Linked DNA regions of Rattus norvegicus. The protein of the gene in region 1 interacts with the protein of each later gene in a biochemical or structural test. Links are inferred from orthologs where the notes say so. Each region holds a gene or a part of one and is shown on either strand. Other genes may lie near its edges. The genes, in order: Cdk9, Ccnt2, Supt5h, Gtf2f1 and Ctdp1.

The links.
Region 2: the proteins of Cdk9 (region 1) and Ccnt2 form a complex in vitro, tested with the Homo sapiens proteins (4 studies listed by BioGRID, with this or other methods). The link is inferred for Rattus norvegicus from reciprocal best matches to the Homo sapiens genes CDK9 and CCNT2.
Region 3: of the proteins of Cdk9 (region 1) and Supt5h, one has a biochemical effect on the other in vitro, tested with the Homo sapiens proteins (4 studies listed by BioGRID, with this or other methods). The link is inferred for Rattus norvegicus from reciprocal best matches to the Homo sapiens genes CDK9 and SUPT5H.
Region 4: the proteins of Cdk9 (region 1) and Gtf2f1 form a complex in vitro, tested with the Homo sapiens proteins (2 studies listed by BioGRID, with this or other methods). The link is inferred for Rattus norvegicus from reciprocal best matches to the Homo sapiens genes CDK9 and GTF2F1.
Region 5: of the proteins of Cdk9 (region 1) and Ctdp1, one has a biochemical effect on the other in vitro, tested with the Homo sapiens proteins (3 studies listed by BioGRID). The link is inferred for Rattus norvegicus from reciprocal best matches to the Homo sapiens genes CDK9 and CTDP1.

The regions. Positions count from the first base shown.
Region 1 is NC_086021.1:36,395,944-36,400,456, forward strand, and holds the start of Cdk9 (cyclin-dependent kinase 9), read right to left. Parts: upstream 3,074-4,513; 5' UTR 3,030-3,073; coding exon 2,938-3,029; intron 2,490-2,937; coding exon 2,408-2,489; intron 1,094-2,407; coding exon 1,003-1,093; intron 625-1,002; coding exon 458-624; intron 347-457; coding exon 175-346; intron 18-174; coding exon 1-17. UniProt on the Homo sapiens protein: Protein kinase involved in the regulation of transcription.
Region 2 is NC_086031.1:41,802,480-41,807,119, forward strand, and holds the start of Ccnt2 (cyclin-T2), read left to right. Parts: upstream 1-1,566; 5' UTR 1,567-1,601; coding exon 1,602-1,759; intron 1,760-2,456; coding exon 2,457-2,538; intron 2,539-4,640. UniProt on the Homo sapiens protein: Regulatory subunit of the cyclin-dependent kinase pair (CDK9/cyclin T) complex, also called positive transcription elongation factor B (P-TEFB), which is proposed to facilitate the transition from abortive to production elongation by phosphorylating the CTD (carboxy-terminal domain) of the large subunit of RNA polymerase II (RNAP II).
Region 3 is NC_086019.1:92,720,420-92,724,327, forward strand, and holds part of Supt5h (transcription elongation factor SPT5), read right to left. Parts: intron 3,825-3,908; coding exon 3,731-3,824; intron 3,643-3,730; coding exon 3,506-3,642; intron 1,202-3,505; coding exon 1,046-1,201; intron 935-1,045; coding exon 788-934; intron 1-787. UniProt on the Homo sapiens protein: Component of the DRB sensitivity-inducing factor complex (DSIF complex), which regulates mRNA processing and transcription elongation by RNA polymerase II.
Region 4 is NC_086027.1:1,933,824-1,937,563, forward strand, and holds part of Gtf2f1 (general transcription factor IIF subunit 1), read right to left. Parts: intron 3,213-3,740; coding exon 3,019-3,212; intron 2,526-3,018; coding exon 2,355-2,525; intron 936-2,354; coding exon 751-935; intron 1-750. UniProt on the Homo sapiens protein: TFIIF is a general transcription initiation factor that binds to RNA polymerase II and helps to recruit it to the initiation complex in collaboration with TFIIB. It promotes transcription elongation.
Region 5 is NC_086036.1:76,169,503-76,173,410, reverse strand, and holds part of Ctdp1 (RNA polymerase II subunit A C-terminal domain phosphatase), read left to right. Parts: intron 1-1,740; coding exon 1,741-1,907; intron 1,908-2,816; coding exon 2,817-3,863; intron 3,864-3,908. UniProt on the Homo sapiens protein: Processively dephosphorylates 'Ser-2' and 'Ser-5' of the heptad repeats YSPTSPS in the C-terminal domain of the largest RNA polymerase II subunit. This promotes the activity of RNA polymerase II.

The DNA.
Region 1 (4,513 bases):
GCCGTAGTCCCGCTCTCCTGAGAAGAAGAGGGTACCGGGAGTGCCTCTTAAGCCCGAGGGCCTCCTGAGACTCCAGGTCCCAAGGCTGATGGCTAAAGAGGCCCCCGGCAACGGGGGCTGTGGCCAGGTAAGTACCCGGCCCCTGCCCCCCTCTGCCCGCTCGGGAGTCCTCACCGAGCAGGAGCTCCGGAGGTCGGTACCACAATGTCACCACACGGTTGGTGTATCGGTTGGGCTGGCTATTCTTAGCTAGGCTGAAGGCGCGAGCCAGCCCAAAATCTGCCAGCTTTAGGACCCCATCTCGGGTAATGAGCACGTTGGCAGCCTTCATGTCCCTGTGCAGGATCTGCAGGGAGGACGCATGAGAGCTCGGTCAGGTCTCATAGTATCCCAGAGACCCACCCACAAGGCAGTGAAGAGCAAAGAAGCCCCAGTCTGTCCCGGCCCCAGGCCTCACCTTGTTCCTGTGGATGTAGTAGAGGCCATTCAGCAGCATCTGCATTACTCTCTTGATCTCAGACAACGTGAACTTCACTAAGACATTGCTCAGCAGCCCAGCGAGGTCATGCTCACAGAAGTCGAACACCAGATAGATGCTGCCTTTGCAGCGGTTATAGGGTGAAGCTGGTGCAGAATAGGGAGAGAGGGTGGGAGGGAAAATAAAAAACCTGCACCCACCTCATTTTCCACAGCCAACTCCCAGCCCTCCAATCCACAAACACCCAACTCCATCGGAGAAAGCCCGGAGAAGCTGGTGGTCAGTCACTGGTGGTGCATGCCTTTAGCCCTAGCACTAGGGAGGCAGAGGCAGTGTGAGGCTAGCCTGGTCTATGGAGCAAGGTCAAGGACAGCCAGGGCTACACAGGGCAACCCTGTCTCAAAACAAAACAGATCGGGAAGCTGTGTGATCAAGTCAAGTCAGGAGGAGGCATTAAGCACATTTACCTCAGGAGTGCAAGCAAAGGTTTAAGGTTCATTTTATCCCGAGAACGAGCATCGTACCTTTGGTTCGACAAATCTCAATCAGGTTGACCACATTCTCGTGCTTTAGGAGCTGTAGAATCTTGATTTCCCGCAAGGCTGTGATGGGGAACTAGGGAGGAGAAAGAGAGGAAGTGGTCAAAATTGAGAGCAACAGACCCATGAAGTAAAAGTGTGTGTGTGTGTGTGTGTGTGTGTGTGTGTGTGTGTGTGTGTGATCTATACTGAGGGACAGAGGTTGAAAGGCAGGTAAGAGTATAGTTTTTGTGTGACAGACGGTTCCTGTCTGGAATCCAATCCTACTATCAGGAGTCAAATAGAGAGTAGAACTGTCCCAAGTTCAAGGCCAGTCTGGTTAGTTGAGCTCTTGCTTGAGGGGAAAATAAATATATTTATCTGCAACCAGTCTCTGTAAAGCAGAAGGTAAGTGAAAGGACACACACATCTCACTCAAGGAGCTGCTAGATTTTGCCATCTAGACAATGGCGGCTTTGGACTTGTGAACCATCCTTTTTCTTTGGCCTCGTAAATGCTGGAACTACAATCATAGCCCTCTACGCTGGGCCAGGAATTTATTTTAGACAACTCAAATAGGGACAAAATCTTTGGCACTAATGCTTGTGGGTTAAAATCAAGAAATTCCCTGGGTCCAGAGATAGATGAATAGTTAAGCAAACCAGTCCTGGCTAAGAGTGGCAGCCCAAGCCTTTATTCCCAGCACTCCGGGCACAGGCAGTTGACCCTCTGCGAGTCTGAGAACAGCTGGGATACTGAGAGATTTTTGTATTAAACAAGTCTTATGTTGAGTCCCTATTTCAGGGAGACATACACATATGCATGCACACACACATACAACACTGGCTGTTCTTCCGGAGGACCTAGGTTCAATCCCAGCCTCTACATGGTGGATCTTTTTAATTCTAGTCCCAAGTGATCCAAGGCAGCCTAGCATGGTCTCCTCAGGTGCCCAGGTACCAGACAGGCATGCTGTACACAGCCACACCAGAAAACAAGACACGCATAGACAGGAAATAGTCAAACAGCTTTTTCCTTACAAAGAAAACGCTGTACTAAAGCTAAGACGGGGACATCATGCTTCAAAACACGCCTTAAGCTAAGCTGCCTTTTAAATTGCCTGTGCACAAATTGTCCCTTCGTACAAAACAAAATTCGACGCTAAGCTGGAAGTTTTCAAAAACCCCACTTCTAGAGGCAACGTGCACTTTCACGCAAAGCACAGGCTCCCTCACTTGCCTCCCACCGAACTTTGCCACAAAAACTCAAAAGTCTAAGTGGAAAGCCAAATGTCTTGTCACACGGAAAATCGAAAAATACTTGGGTGGAATCTCAGCACAAAACCCTTTTAAGTAGCAGTGTGGAAACCGAGCACAGGTTAGAAGAACTGCCCAGTGGTCCATATACTCACCCCCTCCTTCTCATTCTCCATCAACACTTTCTTCAGAGCCACCTTCTGGCCGGTCTGACGGTGCTTGGCTTTAAATACTTCCCTGCAACACAAAGACCCGAGGGACCCATCAGGCATTTCCGCAGGGACCGCCCCTCCCCCACGCGAAGAGGAGCAGCGGGAGACCAGACACACGGTGGGGTGCGGCCCGGGACTCCTGTAAGCTGTTATTCCACACCACGTGTTTTCTGTCCTTCTCCCAGCCCCTGCTCTTACTCCTACTCGGCTCCCACTCCTCCCCCCAGAGGTGTCCGCTCACAAACTGAGTTCCTCTCAGCAACCCTACCCAACCCCCATCACGGGCCTCAGGCTCCTCCCTGCCAGTCCGCTCGGTTAGGCCGGGAGCGTCTGCGGCGCGGCCTAGCAAGACCAGGCAACAATCAAGGAAATAGAAGCTTCCGTACCACCTCGGGCCCCGGCCCTGAACGACCCGATATAGGCCATGGAAAGTGCAGGTCCTGGGCTACCGGTCCCACGCGGCCTAATCTTACCCGAATGTGCCTTGGCCGATCTTGGCAAGTTTCTCGTACTTGGTGACCTCATCGCAAAACGGGCATTCCACTGAGTCGTACTGCTTGGCCATGGCCGCCTCCAGCGCGCCGCCGCCGCCGCCGCCGCCGCCGCCGCCCCCAGCCGCAGCTCCCGCCGCTCCCGGTCCCGCCACACTCCAGGCCCCTCCGCGGCCGCGCCACTTCCGCCTCCAAGGCCACTTCCGGCCTCGAGGTGCCGAGCCCGCCTCTTCCGGTCTCCGCCCGCCGCCAGGCCCCCTGGGACTTGTAGTTCCCGGGAGGCCAGGGGGAGCCGGAGCTGCAGAGGAGCCTCCGCCGCCGCCACTGCCCCCGCCTGCGCCGCCGCCGCTAGTGCTGTTGGCGGCCCCGATCGGGGGCGCAGGGAGCCGTGGCGCTGGGGCTGGGGCTCGTGGCGGTGCGTCCCGCTGCATTGGCCCGGGCCGTGCTGCTGCCGAAGCTGCTGCCGCTCTGGCTCCCGATCCGGGGCCAGCCGCAGTGCCCTGCTCCTCCTCCTCCGACGGCGCCGCCTCCGCCGGGCTGCGCGGGGCGACGGGTGGGGGTGTGGGGAAGGCCTGGGGGCGGGGGCTCCCTGGCCAAACCCGGCCCGGGGCGGCCAGGAAAGGGGGCGAGATAGCAAGAGCAGACGAGGAGGCGGCCCGAGAGCCCGGGAGGGGGCGCGTTATAAAGGGGGAGGTCCCCGTCCTGGCCTCCCCTCCCCCTCCCGCCCCCTCCCTCCTCCTCCCACCCTCCGCGGCCGCACCTGCCGCCGCCGCCTCCCGCCCTCCCGCTCCCAGTCCAGCGTCCGCCCTCGGCGCGTCACTGCTAGCAGCCCCTCCTCTGCGTTTGGAGGTGGGGCTCCGCACTAGACACCTGCCTGCGGCGCCCTGCTGCGTGCCTCAGTTTACCCCCCTAATGCCAGCTGCCACAGAAGGGCCCTTCTTCCAGGGCTGGGAGTGTGCTCCCAGTGAGGCGAAGGCAGGAGGTGCCGAGGGAGCGGCCTGAGGCCCGGGGAAGAGAGAACTGCCCCCGCTGCCGCCTCCGCCGTCTCAGCCACCCGCCGTTGACATGGCAACTGACGGCCGCCAGGGGGCGCGGCGACGCTCAGGCCTAAACCCTGGATCCTGTGTGGTCAGGAAGGCAAGGATGGATCTACTGCCTTCCTTCACAGAGCTGCGGCTAAGCTGGTCTGTCCTGCGTCAATCATCCCAAAAATGGTTAAAATTGAACAGGCACTCCTGCGCGTTTTTGAAATGCTGGGCATGAGCTGGGTAGTGATGGCGCACCTCTTTAATCCCAGCACTTAGCAGAGGCAGGTGGATCTCTGAGTTCGAGGCTAGCCTGATCTCCAGAGTGAGTTCTAGGACAACCAGGAAATAATAACAGAGAGAGAGAGAGAGAGAGAGAGATATCTGCTGGACATTCTGAAACAAACATGTGAACTGGGTTTTACAGAAAAAAAATATGAACCCATTTTACAGAAGAAATCTCAGATCAGAAATCAGAGGTTGTCTGCTCCTGGTCACACTATGATAAGGCTGGCTCTAGAGTTTGTCATGCC
Region 2 (4,640 bases), on another chromosome or scaffold:
TTTTGCTTTTAGGAGTTTTTTTTTTTAAATAGGGTTATTTTCTTTACATTTGTTTACTTTGCATGAGTGTGTACATACATGTGTGTCACTGAGCACATGTGAAGGTTAGAGGACAATTTGTAGCATTTGGTTCTTTCCCTCTACCATATGGGCAGTGGTGACTGAACGGATGGCAGCAAGTGCCTTTAGCCAGTTGGCCATCTCAACAGCCTTCACTGACTTTTTAGAAACAAACAAACAAACAGTTTTTGCTACCTTATTACAGTCTTCAGAAAATACTTAAAAACTAAAGTGTAATTTGGTCATATACAATAGGCATTAACTCGGAGGTAGATAACATGTAGCCAAGATGAGTGGCGCTTCCTTACAAAAAGATGGAATTAAATCATCAGCTACTTTATAAAATCCTAAACAAATTTTTCCCTAGTTGGCTTCTCTTGCACTCAGTTGGTACTGTTGGCCTACTATGCCTGAGGCCCTCGGTTGCAAACTGAGCACTTCAACCAAGATGTCGTACACCAGCCTATAATCCCTGCACTGTTTCTGGACAACCTGTGTTACTACGTTCTGCTTCTCCCCAACTGTCCCCAAATCCAACTCGCAGAAACCACACAGAGGTTTAAAACCATACACCCCATCTGGATGGACGATCTAGAGAGTCATGACCTCGAATTATTAACTTTTATAATGTTGGACAAGTAACTTGATAAGAAAGATATCCGCAGAGTGATGCCACCAACCTGTAATCCCAGCACTTCCGAGGGGGAGGCAAGAGGATTGTAAATTCAAGCTCATCCTTGGTTAAAAGAGTGAATTCAAAGCCAGCCTGGGACACATGACACATTGTTTTTAAAATAACCCATACTCCTTGAATGGCTTTAGGTTTAAAGTAACGTTTTAAAGGCGCATGCCCCCAACATCTACTAGCGATGTTTGAAAAAACACAGAAGACACTTAAGTGTTGATCATTGTTAGAATTAGCGTTCTTTCTTTCCAGTCTTTCCTAGCTAACTCCTCCCAGAGCCGACCTCCCGATACGAGGCCATTCGTGGGCACAGGGGTCAACACAGCTAAGAAAATACACCCACAAACATTTAAGAAAATGGAGGCTACCGCATGAAGCCGAAACTATAAAAGCCTTTTCTGACTTTAATGCACCCACGAACTCACAGACCAAAAACATTAAACGTTGAGTTGAAGGATAACGCCCAGGCCCTATTGGGCAGTCGCGTGACCTCTTCCTTGTCCGCCCCGCCCCTCCTCCTTAGCCCCCTCCCAGACCCAGCATGCACCGCGTCGACCTTTTATTTTTCGAGCGACCCCCTACTTTACGGCGCCTCCCAATGACAACAGGCGCGGAGCATTGTGGTCCCGCGAGCCAGAGAGACACAGAGGAGGGAGGCCGGAAAGAGAAAGCAAAAGACCAGTGCGAGCCGGCCGGGCCGGTCCCTGCGCGTGCGCATGGGTAGCAGCAGGCCCGGAAAAGGCGTGGCCCACTCTACGGAGAGCGCATTGGGGCGGGGCCTCAATGCATTGGCGCGGAGTCCCGGAGGCAGGCGGGGAGGGGGCGGGCTAAGGGTGCGGGCGGAGGAGGAAGTGTCATGGCGTCGGGCCGTGGAGCTTCTTCTCGCTGGTTCTTTACTCGAGAACAGCTGGAGAACACGCCGAGCCGCCGCTGCGGAGTGGAAGCGGATGAAGAGCTGTCGCATCGCCAGCAGGCGGCCAACCTCATCCAGGACATGGGGCAACGTCTTAATGTGTATCCTTTTCCTAGTTGCGGCCCTGCGTCCCACACGCCCCGGTCGCGCTCGCCGGGTGACCGGGCCTAGTGTCCCGGTAACATGGCGCCGTTCTCTCTCTGCGGTCTTTTGATCTCGGCAGAGAAACACAAAAAGCTAGGGCCCCAGCTGCGGCGGAGAGCCCAAGGAAGAGGAGATGTGCCGGGGAAGGCGGGCCGGGAGCCCGCGTTGTGTAACCTGTGTCGGGAAGCGCGTGATGCGGTAGGGAATAGCAGTGCTTCCCTGGCGAGAGAGGAATCCGGGATGAGCGAAGCCAAGGGGCGGCCCTTCCACTTCTTCAGAAGTCAGAAAAGGCCTTGAGACGTAGAAAGGTCCCAGATGTTTCACGGAAAGTGTTTTTCAAGGCTTCCTTGCCGGCTCCAGGGCGGCTCTGTTGCGCGGTGGGAACGCATAGAGATGTTTCATGTTCTTCGGGTGTGCGGCGCGCGCCTTTCGACTACTTTATTTCTACTGTACTAAGCTGTAGCCATTGCAAGTAACTCCTGGGCTCTTTCTACGTAGCGTATTAGAATAATTTGGCATTTGGCCTGATTTCTCTTCTCCCCGCAGACTTCTTACATTCAAGTTGAGAATAGGATTTTGTGTAAATGGAAAGGGGTTTTCCATTCAAATTAATTTAGTTTTTGCCCAGTTTATTTTCTAAACGTTGCATCCCAGCTCTCAGCTTACAATAAACACTGCGATTGTTTATATGCACAGGTTTTATATGCACCATTCTTTCACCAAATTCAACAGAAATGTAAGTACTGCTTTATTGTTTTAGTCGTCGAATGTTAAAATGAGTAGATACTGCAGAAACAAGTTGGTTGATCGTTGTTTTTACTATTAAATTGAATGTTCTGAGTTTTCCATAAGTGTGAGTTATGTAATAAACGTTTTGCCTCAAATGCAGAGGTGTGTGTGAGAGAGAGAATTTTATTAAACTGTAAGGCACAGAGTAAGCCTTTTGTTGTTGGATTTTGGTTTTTCTTTTTTCTTTTTTTTTTTTTTTTTGTGGTGGTGGGTGGTGGTTTGTTTTGAGACAGGGTCTCGCTGTGTGGGTCTGACTGTCCTGGACCTAAATATGTAGAGCAGGTTGGCCTTGAACTCAAAAGAGACACCTAGCTACCTCTTGTCTCACACTTGGGATTAAGGAATGTGCACCAAGCCTGACGGAGAAACAAGCGTGTTTTATTAATTTAAACTTTGCAGGTGGGGTGATTTATATTAGAATAATTTCAGTAATCACAACAGAATAATTTGGCCAAATCTAGTCATTGGAGAAGATACATTTAATTGTATAGGATTCGTTGTTTCAAATGTTAAGAATTGAGACTTGGGTAGTTACATTGCTTAGAAGTAATACTTTGAAAAGGCTACTGTTTAGAGAAATCCTGCAGTGAGGTTAATTACTGTGTGAAGAGGTTGTCAAGCAGCTTTGCTTTTGTCCCCTTACGCCAGTGTCAGCACTCCCAACTCACCACTCAAATACTGTGTTCGCTTTTGTTGAAGGAAGCCTGTCAGACAGTCTTTTCTGGTCTTGAATATAACATGTACATCTTGACATCTGGGTAGTTATTTTAATAAATAAATTAGTTTGTTTACTCTGAGACTGTATCACCGTGCAATGCAAGATGGCCTCAAATTCTTGCCTGCCTCAGCCCTCCTTGAGTGCTGGCCTGTGCACCATACATGACTTCTAACTGTTTTAAAGCTATCAAAATTACTCAGAATAACATGTAATACATTTTTTAGTCCCCATTCTCATATTACTTATAAATTTTAGCCCCATTAATTTTTCACTTCTTTATTATTTGCCTTGTAGTAGAATTTTGGTAGTGTTATTCTGAAAGGTACATTAGGAAAATAGGCCACGTAAGGACTTAACTTCTTTGTGGATAGTTTGTGGAATTCAGCCTCTCATTGCTAAGCAAACAAGTTTAGAAAAGTTTGTTACATTGTTGCCTTTGAAGTGGCAGAAATTGTATGGTTTAGATTATTAATTTCTGCTTTAAGTTCAACTGATCTTAAGTCTAACCTGGTTTATCAAGTTTGCAAATTGCTTTTTTTTTTTTTTTTTTTTTTTGGACAGTGGAGTTTTCTTTATAACTGGGCTTTTGCAGTCCCTCTTCTGTTCTCTTTTCATCTTTTTTGAGTCATGCTCTTTCCCGATTAATTTGTATCACTCTTAGATCAATTTTGGTGCTGTAGAGAAGAAAAGAACCTACTGTTTATAATGCTTATGCTAAGAGAATCAAGTTTTTATTTCAGTTCTCTAAAAGTAGCAATGAATTAGCCAGCACTAAATAAACTTGGCTTTTTCAAATAGCCCCAAATAATGCTGGTAAAAACTACAAAACTCTTTATAGAGCTGTAGATGTCCTATTTTTGTGAATGGGTTTGTTTTTCTATTTTCAGTAAAAGGTCTTTTTCTATTTTAACCACAGGTCTTGCTTTTTGAGCCCTTCCTTTATTTGTTTTTGTGGCCTGGTTTGTATGCTTTAAGCAAACATCCTTCCCAGTGGTAGAATCTGTCTCTTCAAATTTGCCTAGTTAGTCCAGGTCACCCGGTTCTTGCTTCACCACTGTGCTTATTGCCTTAAGCATATGAAGGAGTACTTGAACACTTTGTCTTTCCTGGCCGGATAATTGAAATGTCTGTTTGGGGAAGCAGCAGCATCCCTCCTACCTCAGACGTCTTTCTTGCTTCTGTTTTTGTTGCTTAAAGGTGATTTCAAATACTCAAATTTCAAGTACCACGTACTTGTATCAGTAGTCCTCCCCACACACCTGATCTTTTAGTGATGTTAGTGATGATCTCTAATTGAACATCTTTCCTATTTAAATTCATATTTCCTGCAT
Region 3 (3,908 bases), on another chromosome or scaffold:
AAAAGACTCTATGAGAAGTTGGGGTGTAGCTCAGTTCACAGTGCTGTCTGAGTATGCATGAAGCTGGGTTTGATTGTCAGCACCACATAGACTGGTAAATGCACTGATCTCAGCACTCAGGGGAAGCGGGAGAATGGAGAGTTCAAGGTCATCCTCAGCCGGGGAGGGGAAGGCAGGGAATGCTTTAGGAGGGGACTCTGCCTTCCTGACTGAGCATCAGGGGCATAAGAGGAGGAGCCCACTGATTACCCACCCCTCCTAAACTCTTCACACACTTCCCTGAGAGGAATACAATCACAAGTCCTACTTTACACAGTACAGAAGCAACAAAGCTGACACAGATTCAGGGTCCTAGGTACTATGCTAATGTACACATGGGGGTGGGAAGTGGGGGAGGGCAGAACTGTGGCAACCGTAGCACTCCATCTTTTCTTTTTTTTTTTTCCTTTTTTTTCTTTTTTTTCTTTTTTTTCTTTTCTTTTTTTCGGAGCTGGGGACCGAACCCAGGGCCTTGTGCTTGTTAGGCAAGCGCTCTACCACTGAGCTAAATCCCCAACCCAGCACTCCATCTTTTCAAAAGCTCCAAAAACTGGAGCATACTTTACAATGAGGTGTGACAATTGAGGCAGGCAGGAAAAATGACAGGCCACTTGCCAACATTACACAAACAGGCTTCAGGGAGCCTTCCCAGGCCTGCTACTCAGTGCACTTTGTGGGCTTGGCCACTACGTTGCTCTACTACCTCCAAGGACATGCTCTTGGGATAGGAGCGTAACGTAAGACACACCTGGAAGGTCTCTCGCTCCAGCCGCACGATGACACCTACAGTCCGGGGATCCAACTGCACCAGCTCACCCCACTCATGCTGGCCCCCAACATCCACACCTGAGGCTGTCTCTGAGCAGAGCTGCAGATCCCGGGGAAGCACTTTCAACTGTGGAGAGACAGGGGAAGGAGGGAAGGAGCGAGGCAGGCCCCAGGGAATTACCCACTGGAGCATCCGCTTAGTACCCAATGCCTATCCCACGCTCTTCCAAGCACTTACCTCGTGCATGGTGAGGTCTGAGAAAAGAATAACAAAGTTCTCTTCCACCCGCACGATGAGACCTGTGTCACCCTCAAATCGGCCAGCAATCACTTTTACATGGTCTCCCATCTTGAAGTACTTCCGAAGTTCCTGAGCTGGGAACTCAAGCATGTCCTGGGAAATTTGGCCATGGGAACAGTAAGTACTCAAGAAAAGCCATCATCACTGGGCCCACCTTGCATCCCCTCAATCACAGAAGAGACACTGCAGCTTTCCTACCACCCACCCGAGACACTTCTCAGGGAGCTGCCCCAGGCAGGGAGACCTTTTACCCCAAAGATGACCAACCCATGAGCCATATGCACATGCCTGAACCCACAGACAACTTGTCCTCAGATACATGGACCTCGCTTGCAACAGTCTTCCATTCCCTAGCCCAAGACACTGAATACTGGCACCAATAACTCATCATACATACATGCGCGCGCACACGTACACACACACACACACACACACACACACACACACACACACACACACACACACACAATGACTGAAGGCATGCTATGACCTCAGGTTACTCCTGTTTGCTCTTCAGAAACAACAAAAGACAAACCATGGGGCTGGGGATTTAGCTCAGTGGTAGAGCGCTTGCCTAGGAAGCGCAAGGCCCTGGGTTCAATCCCCAGCTCCGAAAAAAAGAACCAGAAAAAAAAAAAAAAAAAAAGACAAACCATGTTATTATCTCATGACAGACTCTAAGACAGCCACTCGACAACATATCAGGTGTGATGGTTTGTACGTGCTTGGTCTATTGTATGGCACCGTTAGGAAGTGTGGCCTTGTCAGAGTAGGTGTGTCACTGTGGGCGTGGACTTTTTTTTTCTGGTTCTTTTTTTCGGAGCTGGGGACCGAACCCAGGGCCTTGGGCTTCCTAGGCAAGCGCTCTACCACTGAGCTAAATCCCCAGCCCCGGGCGTGGACTTTAAGACCCTTCCTTGTCTTAGCTGCCTGGGAGCCAGTCTTCTAGCAGCCTTCAGATGAAGATGTAGAACTCTCAGCTCCTCCTGCACCAGGCCTGCCTGGATGCTTCCATGTTCCTGCCTTGATGATAATGGACTGAACCTCTGAACCTGTAAGCCAGCCCCAACTAAATGTTGTCCTTATAAGAGTTGTGTTGGTCATGGTGTCTGTTCACAGCAGTAAAGCCCTAACCAAGACATCAGGAAACATCACATAATAGGGATCTATTGGTCACAAGCTGATCATTCCAGCTACTAGAAAGGATGAGGCAGAAGGACCACAAGTTCAAGGATAGCCTGAATAATTTAGCAAGTTCCTGACTCAAAAGTCAACAGAGGGGTTGGGGATTTAGCTCAGTGGTAGAGCGCTTGCCTAGCGAGCACAAGGCCCTGGGTTCGGTCCCCAGCTCCGAAAAAAAAGGAAAAAAAAAAGTCAACAGAACCAGTGAGAGGGCTCAGCATTTTGCCAAAGCTGATAACCCAAGCTCTAAATCCTGCCCTTCTTCCTCATATACATACACAGGAATTTAAGAAAAACATTTTTTCTGTAAGTAAAAGGAAGTCAGGCACAGTGCCAAATGCCTTTAACCACAGCATTTGGGAGGCAGAAGCAGGCGGATCTCTATGAATTTAAGGCCAGCTTGACCTACATGGTGGGTTCCAGTTCAGCCAGTGCTACATAGGGAGATCCTGATTCCAAAAAAGGAAGGAAAAAAAAAAAAAGGCAAAGGTGACCAGCAAAATGGTTCAGTGGTAAGGGAACTTAGGACAAGTCTGTCAGCATGAGTTCAATCCTGAGCAAAGACTGGTGAAGGAGGGAACAGACGCTGACCTCCATGCGTATGCTGTGGCATGTGCACATGCAAAACAAGTCAATGTAAAAAACAAAAAGGGGGACTCAGTGGAAGACGTCACCAGTGAGGGACTGGGGCCTGGCTCAGTGGTGAGCCCCTGCCTGGATGATACTAGTGAGGGGTTGATGGTGTAGCTCAGTGGTCTAACACATGCCTAGGAGTCATCAGCAGGGGTTGGGGGTGAGGCTAAGGGGTAGGGCACTTATAGAGCATGCACAAAGCCCTGGGCTCCATCCTGAGTACCACACACATGCACCAAAGAAGGGTGAGGGAGGTGTCCCTTGGATGCATTCTTCCTCTCCTTTAAACACCCGCACATACGCGTGTCACTATGACACTGTCTTCCCTATACACAGGACAGAGCCCAGGACATAGCATGAACCCACACAGTCCCCTACAGACAGGCAGAATCAGGCCTGAGACTTCAACTGCTTCAACCTGCTTCCCTAATCACAGAAAGTAGGCCTAAATACTCTCAGCAGACCCGTTAGCACACGGAGTCAAAAAAGGTCAAACATGTCCTCTGTAAGGACAGAAAACACTGCCTGAACATCTTCCATACAACGTGCCATGACCAAACACGGTCAGGCCTGTGGCCTCACCTTGAGGTCCTCATGTTTGGGCATGATGGTGATCTTGTTGCCATCCACGCTGAGGACCTTGCCCTGCAGGTTGATGAGCTCACCCTCACACACCTCCACATTGTCACCAGGCTGGAAATTGTGCTCTCGCTCCTTCCCTGAGGGAACAGTGCAGGGTTGGCTGGGCATCCGCTTCCAAAGCGCACTCCTCCTCAGCCAGGTGTGAGGCCAGGACTAGATAGATACCTGTGCTTTCAGTCACCACCTCCAAGTCGATGCCCTCAGGCTGATCCTCAAACTTTTCCAGCTCTGACAGGGTGGGCTTTACACCTTCTGTAATCTGAGATCCAGGGTGAGGAGAGGAGATGGAAAGAAGTCAGTGTCACCATGCTGGTCAGAACCACTGCATGGAACAAACCACTGG
Region 4 (3,740 bases), on another chromosome or scaffold:
TGGGGTTTGGGGAGCTTTTGTTTATTTTTGTTTTTGTAGACAGGGCTTCTCTATCTGTGGCTGTCCTGGAACGTGCTCTGTAGACTACCTTGAACTCACAGAGATCTACTACCCTCCGCCTCTGAGTGCTGGGATTAAAGACAGTGCTACCACCGTCGTGTTTCAAAGATAGGATCAGTGGGCTGGAGCTGTGGGTCAGACGTTAAGAGCACTGACTGCTCTTCCTGAGGTCCTGAGTTCAATTCCCAGCAACCACATGGTGGCTCACAACCATCTGTAATGGGATCTGATGCCCTCTTCTGTTTGTCTGAAGACAGCTACAGTGGACTCAAACATAAAAATAAATAAATCTTAAAAAAAAAAAAAAAAAGATAGGGTCGGAATTCTCTCGCCTCAGACCTGAGTTCTGGGATCACAGCAAGCACACCATGTCTTTTTTGTGTGTTATCTTGACAGGGAGACTGCACTCGGGTTGAGCCAATTCTTAGAGAAAGTGGAAGGCTTACCCCTCCTGTGCACTGTCCTCAGCCCACTCTACTTGTTCTGCCATTCAGTCACCAAAAGCCCTATCCCTATAATCAACCAGGCCCATGTGGCCTGCGGCACAGCAACCTTGAACATTTAAACAAACTGGTCCCATGGAAAGTCTGTAAGGTGCCATTCATTTCCTCAGTAACTCTGCGCCATGACTTCCCAGGTGGTGTTAACTCAGCATGGCCTTGTCTTGAAGACCTCTGGGTCCCCACTCACCCTCTTCTCCACTGGCATCACTGGCATCGGATGACATTTCCAGGTCATCTTCCAGGTCATGAATGCGCAGTTCACTAGGCTTCTTACGGCTGCGCTTCTCCTTCTCCTCCTCATCTTCATCCTGGTCCTGGTCCTTGAGTCGCCGCTGCTGCATGATGCTGAAGTGGTTCAGGACCTTGTTCCTCCTACACATGGGGACAAGTGACTGAGTACGTTGTGCAGCAGAGGCTGGTGGAAGATAATGACCAGGACACTCAGATGGGCACCGTCCTTTTCAGGGACAATGGGCATGACGGGGTAACCTCGTTAAGGCGCGCACACTGTGAGGAAGCTAAAGCAGAAAGACCCTGTAGGGTGTTAACCTGAGCCACACCACATGCAACAGAGGGGGGGAGGGGCAGGGCATGCAGCATGGGCCATTTCAGACCCCCGGATCTTGAAATAATATAGGGTGAGCCCTGAAATGGCCTCAGGCCCACGTGCACTTGAGCCCTCTGGGAACCCCACATCTTAGCTCCTCCAGACTCAGGGTCTGTTCCAGGCATATCCAGCCATCATATTGGTTAGCTAAATAATTTTTTATGCTTTTTCCTGGGAGGGGAGGGTTGGGGAGGGTTGTTTTGTTTTGTTTTGTGGTTTTGTGAGATAGGATCTCTACTGTCCTGGCTATCTTGGAACTCACTATGTTGACCAGGCTGGCCTTGAACTCACAGAGATACTCATGCCAATGCATCCTAGAGTGCTGGGTTAAAGGTGTACACCATCAGGCTTGGCCCAATTAAAATTCCTTTAAAACAGGATCTTATTGTGTGATCTTAGCTGGCATGGAACTTGGAATATACACCAGTCCTCAAACTCAGAGAGCCTGTTGCCTGTGTACCAAAGTGCTGAGATAAAAGGTGTGCACCACTGTGTCTGGAGCTCTGGGTGTTTTGCTGAGATAGAAGGCGTGTACCACTGTGTCTGGAGTTCTGGGTGTTTTGAAACCAAATCTTGTATAACCACAGCTGGCCTCAAATTTAATACAGCAGAAGATGGACTTGAACTCCTGATTCTCTTGCTTCTGCCATCTGTGTGCTGAGGTGTGCACTCACACTACCCCCACCCATACCCCCATCATTAATTTATCTCAAGGATTACATAGAGTAGGGTCTCATTGGACAAGGAGCTGTCCATGAACCTATGTGTGCCCAGAATAAGGCTAAGCATAGTAGGAGGAGCTGCTTTTGACATTTCAATCCCAGCCCTTGAGAACCGGCACTATTCCAGGCTTGTAGGCAAGCACAGAGCAACCCCATGGACCACATCAATTCCAACAGCCCTCTCTGGACACACAGGGCCCACCCTCAGCAGGTGTACACGACATCTTATGCTGTCCACTGAGTTTCTCTATCCCAGCTTCCCTGTACCCATCTTTGTTTCTACCTCCCAAGCTAGAACTGAGGCGGTTGCCATGAAGAGGCGCCTCCCTGACCCCCAGGCTGTGCCTATCTGTGGTACTAGCCTTCACTCAGCTCCCAGGCCTGCCAAAGGAAGCACTGCTTCCTGCTCCAGGCAGGCTTGCTCCAAGGGCATACACATTATAACCACCACTTCTGCCTCACCTCTCCCATTCCTCCTCAGCTTCCTCAGCAGTCAGTGTGCGGTGTCGGGCCAGCGGTGTGAAATTGTACCAGTTCTGCACAGGGAAGGCCTCGAAGGCGCCATCCGCACACTGTGTGAAGATGTAGTAGGCCGTGTTCTCTGTTACCCCGCCTTTCTTGATGCCCTTGAACCTGCAGAGAGCCTCAGTTAGGTCAGGACCTCACCCACAGGGCCTGCCTGCACTCCATCCACCCCCTTACAGTACCCATCTGGGCTCTTCTAGGAATGACAGGACAGAAAGGCATGGGCCACCACCTCCTTAACCAAGTACCACTCTGCCACCTTGTGGCCACCATCCTCACAGCTGCTCCCAGCCTATAACCCACCATGGCTACTGTGGGGCCCTACAGCATGCAGGCTCCAGCTATCAGTCCACTGAGTAACTATGCATAGAGTACTGGTCACTGGCTTTCTCAGGCTCCACCATCCCAAGTGTCAAGGTGCTCTCCAGGTCACAGTCAGGCTATTGAGCCAGGCCAACAGTCTCCAGTTTAAGATTAAACTTTGACAAGAGAGGTGGTCCTGGGCCCCCATCCTGTTGGGAACAGACTTGAGGACAATGTCTCCTAAGCATGCGTGTGTGAGGGACACAAGCTGGAACTCCCCACCATCAGCACCACTCACTTCCTCCCCGATTTGCCATTGACACGGAGTAGCCAGGGCTGGTCCTCAGGCCGGAACTCCTTCAGGACGATGCCATACTTCTTCCGGCGAGCCTCCTCCCTGAGCTTGCGGTTGAATTCACTTCCTGCACCAGACTCTGGCATCTCCTCTTCCTGGTAGATCTTCTTGTTGCTCAGATCTCGCTCCAGCCGTGCCTGGAGGGAAGCAGGAGCAGGGATACTCTCCTGTCGCGCTGTGCCAGGCCTCACGTGCCCCAGCACACCCGCATGCGGCATGAGGGCAGGGATATGAGCACCTGCTCTGCCCAGGGAGAGGGCGGTGGAGACGCCTCAGTGGATAACGTAGCTGCCTTGCAAGCATAAGGATCGGGAGTCCAGACCCCCAGTACCACAGACAAAGCTGGGTATGGAAGTGTGCATCTGCGACCCCAGGAGAACGGTGTAGACAGCAGGGTCCCTGGGACTCACAGGTCAGCAAGCCCCAGGTCCAGTTAGATACCCTGACTCAAAACTGTATGTAAAAAGGCTGGGAAAGATAGTACTTGCTATATAGTCTGCATAAAGTATAGCCTGCAAAAGGACTGAGGCTTGAGTTCAAGCCCTAGGACCCACACAGCATAAAGTGAGAACCGACTCCTGCAAACTCTTCTCTGATCTCAACTCTGCATCCCTCACACACCTGTGGCCCAACAGATGTCATTTTAATAATAAGGTGTAGAGTGA
Region 5 (3,908 bases), on another chromosome or scaffold:
GAATTTTGAGAAGTAGCGTAATAGTTCTGTGATTAACATTTTCTACGAATGTAACCTCCAACTTTCAGCATAACCCGTAGAGTACTCAGACAGGTCGTTTCTAGATTAGACCCTGCATTGCATTCCTCCCACGTGGGTCCTGTTCCTGCTCTGGATGCTTGGGCCCTGCCTCTGCTAATGTCCTGTCGCTGTAATAAGACACCATGACGGAAACAACTTATAAAAGAAAGAATTTAATTAGGGGCTTGCTCACAGTTTCAGAGTGTGAGTCTGTCATTGTAGGGAGCATATGGAAATGTGAGCCTATGGGGTCCATTCTCATTCAGAGCACCACAGGCCCCGAGAGAACCCAACCCTTTCTGTGTCCTCCTGTCCTGTTCCCTATTCCAGGCCATATTGATCTGAAACTACCTTTGTGTGGTTCAGAAGAGGCGCGATGGTCGTCTTCCCCACACATGCTGGGTGTTAGCTTCTCTCCACCTCAGCCATTGCCTTCCATGTCGCCCTTTACCAGCTGGCCTCAGAGATTAGGCCTCAGGGTAGAGCTCACTGCTGCAGAGGTGAAGCACTGACCACACAGGTGAAGGTTTAGGGCTGAGAAGGCAAAGTAGCCTAGAGAAGGAAGGCGCAGGCCAGAGAAGGTGCGGGGCCTGTAGGATGCACACAGCATTGTGAGCACAGCAGCTGCCAGAAGGTCCCGTTTTCGTTCCACACAACTTTCTGGGTTGAAAGATGAGGACACCAGTGCCAGCCTCTCAGAGTTACAGTTTCCTAGGAATTTGCCTGGTGTACATTCCTCTAGTGAATAACACCCAATAAACAGCCAAACTTGCTTTATCTTTGCTGTTTCCCATCTTCCTTTTTTGTCATCTGTCTGTTTTCTGTCTTTCTCTAAGCTCTGTGACCGGGCTTGCTCTTCCTCAGTCCTGCTTGGGAAGCAGCCCTATGTCTGAAATTTGTCATTTTGCACAAGATGTGTCCCATTCCTACCAGTAGAGAGCTGTGTCCACCGTTCTCATGTGTCAAGTGGCATTTGTTTCTATAGTGTGTTTCTCTTAAGACCTGGACCATAGCAGTTCTGTATAGCAGTGAACGGGGTGTGGATGTACAGACATCTTCCTTTGAAGTTTCATTTTTAGATTAAGAGATCCATGGAGATTTGAAAATTGTGCACGTTATTATTAACTAGAAGAATACTATTGCTAGATAGTATAGAGGGAGCAAACTGGGGGCAAAGCAAGGCAGGAGGTAGCATTGGTGCTTCCTCAGTGCAAAGCTGTCTGAGGGCTGGGTGATAGAGTCTACTGGAAGCACTGCGCAGGAATAGACTCCCTGTGCTGTGCTCAGGGTCAGCCGAGGTCCACTGTAAGGGTGCCCGGTGAGCACTTGGCCTTTGCGCTGTTTGTTATTATGTTTATTAATGTGGTCTGACCCAATTGTTTATAAAAACTGAGTTTTCAGGGCTGTGTTCTGACCTGTGACTGAAATATTTACCCATTTTTTAAAGTTTTGTTAAGGAGAATCAAGCAATGGAGAAAAATATTTTAATTTTACTTTCTCTGGAAAACAATAAATTACAAACATATGAAAGCCCCCTGTTATAGCGTGCTTCCTTTTACGGACTCTGCTCTCTGCTCTTCATAGATAGCTGAAAGTCCTCGATTGTTCTTTTTAGCAGAATAAAAGATTATTGTAACTGGCAAACCACTTTCTGTGTAAACTGTATGTGTTTGCTCATAGAAATCTCTTTCCCTGTGGAGATTCAATGGTTTGCATCATTGATGACCGAGAGGATGTGTGGAAGTTCGCCCCTAACCTTATAACTGTGAAGAAGTATGTCTATTTCCCAGGCACAGGTGATGTGAACGCACCCCCTGGGGCCCGGGAATCTCAGACAAGGAAAAAAGGTGGGTGAAAATAGCATTTTGGTAAATGTCTATCTTTTATTTTTAATCTCTGTAATGGAATATTCACTTCATTCTGTTTTGCTTCTTATTTGTATTTCAACTTTCCTGAAGCAGTTGGGTTTCCGTAATGAGAAGTAGGATATTTAAAAATCATATCGGGGCTGGTGCTGTATCTGTGTCTACCACAATCAGTCCCTGGTGCTGGAGGGGAAGGGGGGGGGAGTGGTGGGAGACGCCACACTGGTCTGAGTGTGATGCCACCGCATTCCATCCCGGGAGTTTGGATTGTACACCCATGGAGGGAGGGAGGAAGGTGTGTGTGAGATACAGGTGGGGTGCAGTGGTTCCCCTGTAAGAACCAGCAGATTCTTAGAAAACAGCCGGGACTCAGTCTATGTTGCCTGCGTGAAAACTGCAGGGAATCGAGTCTGAGGCACACAGGAGCCAGAGGTTGTCTGAAGGAAATTACATTTCTCTCTATGGAGCTTTTAAGACGTAGTCTGTCTATGTAGCACAGGCCCTTCCTTCAGCCTCCCAACTATGGGGGTACAGGTGTGCACCACCAAGTTCAGTTTGCAAGTTTTGGTTTTAAGTTTTTATGGTGAACTGAAATAGAATGTTTAGAGGCATATATTGCTTCTGTAGGCACTGAAGTAGACAACGAGGGTAAACTTTTCATAGATGAGGACATTGCCTCGGATCACCCGCCCATATAGGCTGCAAAGGCAGAAGGTCTGTTCATGGCCACAGACATGAGCTGGTTATTGTCAGCTCTTAGATCAGAAATTTCCCTAGGCCTGAGCCAGAGAGGACAGACAGTTCAGACTGTCCTGGAGAAGGGTGAGGTTTAGGTTCAAAAGTTATTTACCATTAAATAACCGTAACTTTTCCTTTTGTATGTATATTTAGTAAATCATTCTTCCAAAGGAGCGGACATCTTGGAACAAGCTCTGCCAGTCAAGGACCCTGAGGAAGGCAAACCTCCTGGGGTGGAACAGAGCAATGGCCTTGGGAAGGCCTCCCGGGAGCTCAATGGTGGTGAGGCTGTGCCAGGAGTTTTTTCCAGTAAAACAGATGAGAAGGAAACCTGGTCCCTCACCCGTGCCTCTCCTGCCAGCAGCTCTGGTGGCCGAGAGCTGACAGAAGCTCCAGAGCTCCCTGTGTCTTGTGAGTGGGACAGTCGGACAGCACCAGGAGCGCACCCTACTCAGGGAGATGCCACCCAAGGTTTGGACTTCGACCTGTCCAGTGACAGTGAGAGCAGTGAGAGCAGCAGGTCAGAAGGCCAGAAGTCCTTCTCCTCTGCTTCCGATGGGGAGAATGAGGAGAGGAGACGCAGAAAGAAGTCTCCAGCCACCCAGGATAGAACAAAAGTTCCACAGCACAGTGGGCCCCATGACACGAGTGGGGGGAGGTCTGCAGCAAGCCCCTCGGGAGAGTCTGGGCCTCTCCACCCACATGACAAAGTGTCCGACCCAGATACTCAGGAGGAGGGTGAGCGAGACAGCCTCTGTGGCCTGGGCAACGGCAGTGTGGACCGGAAGGAGGCTGAGACAGAGTCACAGAACAGTGAACAGTCAGGTGTCACTGCAGGCGAGTCCCTAGACCAGAGTGTTGGGGAGGAAGAGGAAGAGGACACAGATGACGATGACCACTTGATACACCTCGAGGAGATCCTAGTGCGAGTACACACTGACTATTACACAAAATATGACAGATACCTCAACAAGGAGCTTGAGGAAGCTCCAGATATACGGAAAATTGTGCCAGAGCTCAAGAGCAAGGTGCTAGCAGATGTGGCCGTCATTTTCAGTGGGCTGCACCCAACAAACTTTCCTGTGGAGAAGACTCGTGAGCACTATCATGCCACAGCTCTGGGAGCCAAGGTCCTCACCCAGCTAGTGCTGAGCCCTGACGCTCCAGACAGGGCCACTCACCTCATTGCAGCGCGGGCCGGTATGTGCCACCATCCCTGCTCCTGTGGGTAGGGAAATGCAGCTA